2 linked regions of the Daphnia pulex genome follow. The protein of the gene in region 2 binds, or shares a complex with, the protein of the main gene of each other region. Links are inferred from orthologs where the notes say so. Each region holds a gene or a part of one and is shown on either strand. Other genes may lie near its edges. The genes, in order: telomere length and silencing protein 1 homolog and transcription termination factor 2-like.

Region 1 (3,664 bases), on a different chromosome or scaffold from region 2:
TCATCGCCAATTTAAAGATGCACAGTAAAACTCAAAAGAATTCTAGTGAAGAAACGAATTTGGTTTGTTGCTAGATAAAATCGTTGAAATGTTGTCAAATAAGTTAAAATTCCTTATTTTAGGAAATCGTTGACATGGATACATCCATAGAAGACCTTGAAGAAAAGCGCCAGGCATTGCTTGCTGAGTTGGGAGATGAAGACGATGACTGTGTTATTGAAGAAAATTTTGAAGGGAGTGAAACCACTAACCCAACCAACACAACAACTGGCATCGTTACTGGGGACACATTGAAAGAGAGTGGATCTCCCAACCTAACCAACGAGGTTCAGGAAATGGATATTGCTGCAGTGACGATTCCTACCTCGTCAATATCAGATCTACCTCTAAATATTGAGTCACCAATCAACAATCAAGACTTGTCACCGAAAAAGAGCAAGCTCTTGGCAATGGGAACTCCTGTCTCTATACGATATTCACCTTATAATATCCTACCTTCACGAGACAAGTTTGCGCAAAATGGGAAACTTGGGACCATGGGTGAACTTGAACTATACGAAAATCTTCCAAATAGTACGGGCGCTTTTCAAAAGATGCGATCTTTACTTCAAAAGGCGAAGCAAATGTTTAATAGGAAATAAATGGCACTGAAAAATCGTTTATTTGAAAAATGTATGTATTTTTTTGAAAAATTAAGACTTTCATCATCTTCGGAACTGTCGCCGGAACTTTTCGAAATAAAAGTCGTCGCTTGCCTTATCATGCTCTTTTTTCCCACCGACATTGTCTAACCTTTTAGGTAACTCTACAGGGACGGCTGGTTTGACAGAAGCTTCAGCACGTTTCTTACGTGGGGGGCCAGATTCTTCAATATTAACTAAAAATATGTAAAAATATGATTAGAAATTTTTAATTAAGTATAGATCAATAATAGAAAGGTACATCTGTTATGCTGGACAAAATTAACGGCCATGTTAGTCGGAACAAACATTGAAGGACCATCTTTTTTACGAAGTCTTTCTTGAAGCAGCTTCTGTTTTGCTTCTTCAGTTGCTTCAATATTCTTAATTTTGGCCCTTTAATAAAATAATTATGAAAGTCATTGTAAAAATTTTTAATATAAAAATGTTTTAGACTGGCATACTCTATTCCTAGATCTACTTCCGGAATTCCGCTAAGCATCTGGTTGGATAACATTTCTTCAGATTGGACACTAGATTTCACTCTCAGATATTCAGGTACTGACGAAAAAGCAATTTCTTCAGGAGTCAGGTATTTATTACTTTTATCTTCATCCTCTTGCATTAGACCTTTCCTTTTTGCAAGTTGCTCCTCAATATACTTCATCCTAAAAAGAATAAACATTTTATAACTGAATTGCAAGAGTTGTAAATGAATAATATTTACACACATTTCTGCATCTTCATCTCGAGTGTTGGTTTCCACGGAAAACTGTGTACCAATTCCAGTTTCATATGCATCATCAGCAGATGAACTATTTTGCTTTCCAGCTTTAACTGCCTTCATATCAGCCATTCCACCAGTTGTAACTTTGAAGGGATCATTCTTTACTTAAACAAGTAAACTAGTTAATGCATGATCTTGTATAAATTTCTATATACACTGCCTTACCACTGTAACTTCCTCTTCAACAGTTATTCGCTTGCCAATTGCCAATGCCACAGCACTAATACCGTGGGGTCTCTCTCTTAACTTTTGTAACTCTTTTGTCTCTTCCAGCTTTAACCTAGAAAATTAGGAAATTAAATATGACAATACATTTTAAATTATATTATTTATAAGAATGTGCATACAACACGTCGAGCTCATCACTGCCACCAGCATCATCGTCCTCTTCAATTTCGAGACGTTTTCTCATAGGTTTTCTACTTGGTTTCTTGAATTTAAATGTTAGAGAAGCTTCTCCCGAATTATCACCAATTTCTTCCATATTTTTTTACGATTTGTTTAATTGTTCTGTAACTTAAAAAGGCGTCCCGTTCTTTTAGACAAAAACAAAACAGAAGCAGTACAGTGACATACAACCTTGACAGATTGCCGATATATGGGAAATTCGGAATCGTATTTGAGTAATTCTTCAACTTGACCAGAGTGATAGGTATAAAAATATTTTTATTCTTAAATATTTAAATAGAATTATTCTCAAATTAATGAGTCATTAAATGAAGGAATAAACTGACAAAAACTGGCAACAGTTAGAGCTTACTCCATCTCACGGTGTCATGCAAATGGCGACCATTGTTGTGCATTTCAATTTAGAATATTTACCTAAACATGCTGAGTTTGTTGGAGTGGGATTGGAATAAGAGTCTTCATTAAACTTACTGTCTTTTCGTTTTATTTATTAGAAAATAGCATTATAGAGTTTCCTCAATGTTTTTGTTAGTCAAGCACAGATTTCAGCTTTTGCTTCTTTCTAAGTGTTAAAAAATCATTCCTTCCTGAAGCCTGAAATGAATCTTTTGATAGCACAAATTGAGTAACCAATATAAGTATAATATTATATTATCACCTTATTTATACATTTTTCGACAGAATTTTGCGGAATTTTTCGTAATATTTGTTCTTTTCATTTTGCTTTTTTCCTATTGCTATGTTTAAGGGGGCACTGGAAGGATAACGTTGCTTGAACCTAATCACCTCCTACTCTTTTTGAATTTCTAGAAGAACTCTTCCGCTTGATCCTAAACCAAAGACGTGTACTTCACTGTGATCAGACTCTCTTGCCTTGACTGCAAGATACTCGGTGAATCTCCGCCTGCCGTAAGCATCCTGGCTTCCTGGAAACCTTTTCATCTTCTAAGATGAAGAATTTTCACGATTGCACTATTGTGGAATCCTCGAGTCGTCAAACATTGCATGAAGCTCAGAGTTGTGTATGTCTCTCTTGCTGCAATGTTTCTTGCATATGGATTGGAATACCACTCCTGTAGATGGGATGTCTATAGTTTCATGAGCAGGAGGTGTTGGTGTGCCAACCCATCAGGAAGATCAGAATTATCTTCTTCTCCCTTAAGGAAATGTAAGTTTTTTCGGTTTTGTAATTTGTGCGTTTTGTTGATGTAATTAATTATATAAGAACGTAAATGCGTGGTTATTTAAAGTTTTAGTTGGGATTTAGAGTTATTTTCCGCTGTCTAACTATCCATAAAAAGGTCTATAAGAGCCTGAAAATGAAGACAACGTTAAGGACATTGTAAAATTAAGGTCCTCTTTACATCAGGCGGCTGACCCAGCTGAAAATCGTTTCCGAGACGTTAAACAACTTCAATGAACGCAGTAGATTACGACAAATTATAGACAAATGATTTAAATGTCCTGTAAATAATAATTGTGCCTTGTGTAAAGGTACACAAATTTCTGTCTGCTAATATTAATTATTTGATAGATATTAATTTTAATATACCTCCATGTTACTAATAGCTGGAAGTTTGTCTTTTTTCGAGAACATCGATTTGATCCATTATTGCGTGGTGAGATACTTTCTTTTATGTCACTTAAGTGAGCTCTACAGTTTGGATTATTAGATTTCCTCAGATAATGCTAAGCTTTTTATAATGAAATCAAAGAAATTTACAGAAGTTGTTAAACCGTTTTTCCAACTGAATCTTAATTTTCCCTGTTGGTTTCTCTGACAATGATT
Region 2 (4,274 bases):
CAGAGCTAAAATGCCAAAAGGTGACTGGATTTGGCCAGGTAGAAATGAGTTGTTATTAAATATAAAAACAATTGGGAAATTAATAGTATTGAAATATCCTATAAAGCAATTTGGATGTTGCCTACTGACGAAATTTATGGTGGTTGGCCACGATCGGGTGAGATTGACATCGTAGAGTCCCGAGGAAACGCCGATTTTTCGTGCAACGGCTATCCGATAGGGCGACAGTTGGCAGGAAGCACTTTGCATTGGGGTCCTGATCCCAACCAGAACCGTTTTGACCTTACCCACTGGGAAAAGTAAATTTACATATGTGCATGAATTAATTATAGTTACTACTTAGAATAATGTTAAACGTTTTTATTTTTCACAAAGGATCACTCAGAATCCAGATTTTGCCAGCGATTTCCACCTTTACCGTGTCGAATGGCTTCCAACTGGTTTCCAATTCTTCATTGATGATCAAATGATTGGTGAAATGTATCCCCCTGCAGGTGGATTCTGGGAATTGGGAGGATTTCAAGGACAGAACCTCTGGAGCGGTGGAACTGTAATGGCTCCCTTCGATCAAAAAGTATATATTTTTTTTTTATTATTTATTTTAAATATTTCATTTACATCATTGTCGTCGTGTTTGTGCAGTTCCATTTTCTTCTTAATGTCGCTGTCGGAGGTAACTACTTCCCTGACGGCTGTCAAAATGCCGTTTATGACAAGCCGTGGACCGCATCTGATCCTACTCAAATGAAAACTTTCTGGGAAAGCCGCGACAAATGGCTACCCACATGGAATGCTGCCACTGAAGACAACACAATGCAGGTTGATTATATTCGCGTGTATCAGCTTGGTTAAATTGCCACAAACTGATTTTAAAAAAAATTGATTTTATGGAAAGTTTAACTTGACTCTTAAAAGAATAGAATAAAAGAATGCAACATTTTCTTTATCCTTTATTTACTTCACCTCATAATTTGATGTAAAGAGATAGTATTACCACGGTTAGACCGTGGTATTGCAGTGTCAATGCTCAATGGTGCAAGGTTTTCAAATTTCCCACTACGCGTACTAGACTCCTCCCCAACTACTGCGGTTGCACGTACACGATCGAAATAAGAAATTAATATTAAAACAACAATATAAATATGAATGGGAAAACCTATTCGAATTAAAAATTGCTCATAAAGTTCAAAATAGGAATTTGCCTAATCAATGTTTTTCTAACTAAAAAAATAATTCATAAAATTTCGTTGGCTCCTCTTTTTTTTATATTTGGCAACGACGCCTCAGTATTTCTATTCGAAAATTTTAGAAAGAAATCGTGAACAAGTGTGACAAGGAGTTGGTGATGTACTCATGTCCGTTGTTTCTTCTTTCTTTTATCGAACGAAATATTTAATAAAGCACGAGAATAGTCCAGGTCAGACAGAGAGGAAGCTAGGTAATTTGTCATCTTTCTACTGCTGCCTTCGTATTTTATGGTAAACCTTTTGTACATTATGCTAATGCTCTACTGGTTCATGATCACCTAAATTTCAAATCCAGAATCTAGAGGAATTTAAGCTGAATTGACATACAAAATGTCCAAGTTCCCATTGAATGATGAAAGTGACCTGGTTCCATCTACACCAGAAGGTAAAACATTTAGAATTTGAAAAGTAAGGCTTTCTAACATCATTCTGTTTCCTTATTTGAAGATGTGTCTGATAACGAGGCGTATGAAACTCCAGCTGCCCATTCTTTTAATAAATACTCAAAGTCTAATGTGAAAGCATCTGCTGTTTCACGTACAGAGAAGATAGAAGAGTCAGTACAGGGAGAAGATTCAGACTCTTACAGCGTTGAGGGAGAAGAAGAGGAGGAGTCCCAGCATTCATCTAGGCCTGGATCTTCAGATGATGAGGAACCTGAAGATGAGGTAGATAAAAGTCGATCCTCTAACCTGGTTGTCAGTCCTTTTGAAACTAAAAAAGGATCGAAGCAAAAGGCTCATAGATTTATTGAGAGTTCAGAAGACGAGTCTGATGATGAGTCTGATGAAGAAGATGTGTCATATCGTGTGAGAGGAAAACGTCTTGGATCTAGTGAAAAATATTCAACTAGTCAAATTGGAGACCTGGATGAATCTTACCAAGTAATTCAAGCTGGAAGGCGTCAAGCAAAATTGGTGATTCAAAGTTCTGGAGAAAATTCTGCTGAAACTTCTGACATTGAAGGCTTGGCAATTCAGAAGGCCAATGCTTCTGATAGCTCTGACGAATCCGCAGAAGATTCTTTTGGTTCCTCCGTTAAGAAGAAGCCAACCCGAAATCCAATTGATAGTGATTCCGATTCTAGTGGACCACCGGTTAGAGGAAAAGCAATTGACACTGACACTAGTGAAGAGTCCGATTCTAGTGTTGAAGCAACACCGCGAGTCTATCGTGAACAAACTGGAAGGAAAGCTGCATTATCATCCACTGAAGATGAGTCTGAGGATAATATTAGGAAAGAGATGACTCCTCGTATCCGAAAGCAATTCATCGACAGTGACGTATCTACTGAAGAAGAAGTAAGGGTTCCTCGTATAAAAACTCCTCATGTCCGAGATCAAATCATCGACAGTGACGTATCTACCGAAGATGAGGTTGAAGCCATTGCCCCACGGCTCCCTTCGTCCTCTCGTATCCCTACACCACAAGCGATTCAGCGTGCTCTTCGCAATACCAGTCTTGATAGACACGTTTCGGGGAATGATTCAAACATGGATCCCATTAACGCTAATCATGTAAGTTGGCCGTGATTAAAGCTGCCTATGATTAGACCTTTAATATATTTTTTATTTTATTTCAGGAAATGTCGAGGAAATCGGCCGATAAAAGATTTTCGCCTCCTGAGCCTCTTGTAGAGGAAGAAGAAGTACCGATCCAAGATCTATCCAATAGTATTCTTGAGGTATCAAGTACTGTTGTATCTTTTTCGAGCCCTGAAGTTGAAGGAAAAGAACAAGATCAGAGCATAACTGAGTTATCATCACCGGAAATTGCACGAACTCTTCCTGTTCGACTCTCGGCAGCAGAAATAACGCGGATGCGTGAAGATCTTGAGCGCCAAAAACTTCTTTTGGTATCGTCAAATTTAAAATCATTGCCCGATGGAGGAGAAAGGCTCCGAGACAAAATTCGTAAGCTGACTGAACAGCTAGAAACAGCCAACAAACTCGGTGTAAATCCCCCAATGCGCCCCGTTCCAGTTTCATCAGTAGCGTCAAGTGAAGTCCAAGAAGATGAACTTCGAAAACAAATACAAATGAAAAAGGTTATTTTCCAACAATTATTTTCTGAAGATAAGATAAATTTTATTATTGTTTTTTCTAGTGGGCCATGGGTAACGCAAATAGCGACGACAAGGAGCGCCTGCGAACTGAAATCGGTGCCATGGAGGGTCGTCTTATTAAGTTGTCAATTGCCAATGCAACCAACGCCGGCAGCAGCAGTTACGGCTCAAAACATTTGGATTTCCAAAATGACACGCAGAATCGCCAATTAGCTGTAAAACCGAAAAAAACCCAACTTCTTCCTGAAGCTCCCAGACTAACCGAAATGCAGAAGAAGATGTTTGCCGATAATGCGGGAAAGGAACTCTACCAGAAAACGGAAACCGGTTAGTAATAATAGTCATGTTTTTTTTTTTACAGCAACTCAAATTCTCCTCCTTTTAAATAGGTTACATCTCTGCTGCTGCCCGTCGTGAGGCTGTTTCCATCACTATGGATTCGCTTGAAAACCTTCATCGTTCTCTCGCCAGTTGCCCAAAAGAAACCGATGTGGAGAGTACGCCCGCCTGCCTCACAGTTCCTCTCTTGGCGCACCAGGAGCGCGCACTCAAATGGCTTTTATGGCGCGAGACTCAAATTCCTGCTGGTAAGCGACGTGATTACTTGTTCATTCAGTTATTCCCTAAACTTAATTTATTCTTATTTTTCTTTTAGGTGGAATATTGGCGGACGACATGGGTTTAGGCAAGACACTGACCATGATTGCATTGATCGTGAAACAAAAGGAACTAGATCCTCCACCACCTGCGTCCTCCAACATTTGGCTCTCCAAGACCGTCAAGATCAAAAGGTCATCTGGTACTCTCGTTGTTTGCCCCGCCAGTGTAGTGGGTAAGTGTTATCCAATTAACTTAGTTTATTAAACGTAGCTTCACAACAATCAAGTGGCAAGAAACATGGAAAGAGTTAATGAACCAAACGGGGAATGGGAATTTCTTTGTAACATCAGGACAGTGAGTGA

The links.
Region 1: transcription termination factor 2-like (region 2) and telomere length and silencing protein 1 homolog share a complex: the UniProt entries of both Homo sapiens proteins name them as parts of the spliceosome. The link is inferred for Daphnia pulex from reciprocal best matches to the Homo sapiens genes TTF2 and C9orf78.

Annotation. Positions count from the first base shown.
Region 1 is NC_060023.1:10,024,216-10,027,879, forward strand, and holds telomere length and silencing protein 1 homolog, read right to left. Parts: upstream 2,048-3,664; 5' UTR 1,952-2,047; coding exon 1,815-1,951; intron 1,748-1,814; coding exon 1,633-1,747; intron 1,567-1,632; coding exon 1,412-1,566; intron 1,349-1,411; coding exon 1,145-1,348; intron 1,077-1,144; coding exon 943-1,076; intron 878-942; coding exon 705-877; 3' UTR 664-704; downstream 1-663. Other genes in the region: zinc finger CCHC domain-containing protein 8 homolog, read left to right, coding at 1-62, 123-641. UniProt on the Homo sapiens protein: Plays a role in pre-mRNA splicing by promoting usage of the upstream 3'-splice site at alternative NAGNAG splice sites; these are sites featuring alternative acceptor motifs separated by only a few nucleotides. May also modulate exon inclusion events.
Region 2 is NC_060026.1:13,496,192-13,500,465, reverse strand, and holds the start of transcription termination factor 2-like, read left to right. Parts: upstream 1-1,294; 5' UTR 1,295-1,478; intron 1,479-1,542; 5' UTR 1,543-1,577; coding exon 1,578-1,632; intron 1,633-1,694; coding exon 1,695-2,764; intron 2,765-2,829; coding exon 2,830-3,294; intron 3,295-3,353; coding exon 3,354-3,639; intron 3,640-3,701; coding exon 3,702-3,899; intron 3,900-3,967; coding exon 3,968-4,144; intron 4,145-4,154; exon of another isoform or gene 4,155-4,274. Other genes in the region: beta-1,3-glucan-binding protein-like, read left to right, coding at 1-38, 107-299, 376-574, 643-852. UniProt on the Homo sapiens protein: DsDNA-dependent ATPase which acts as a transcription termination factor by coupling ATP hydrolysis with removal of RNA polymerase II from the DNA template. May contribute to mitotic transcription repression. May also be involved in pre-mRNA splicing.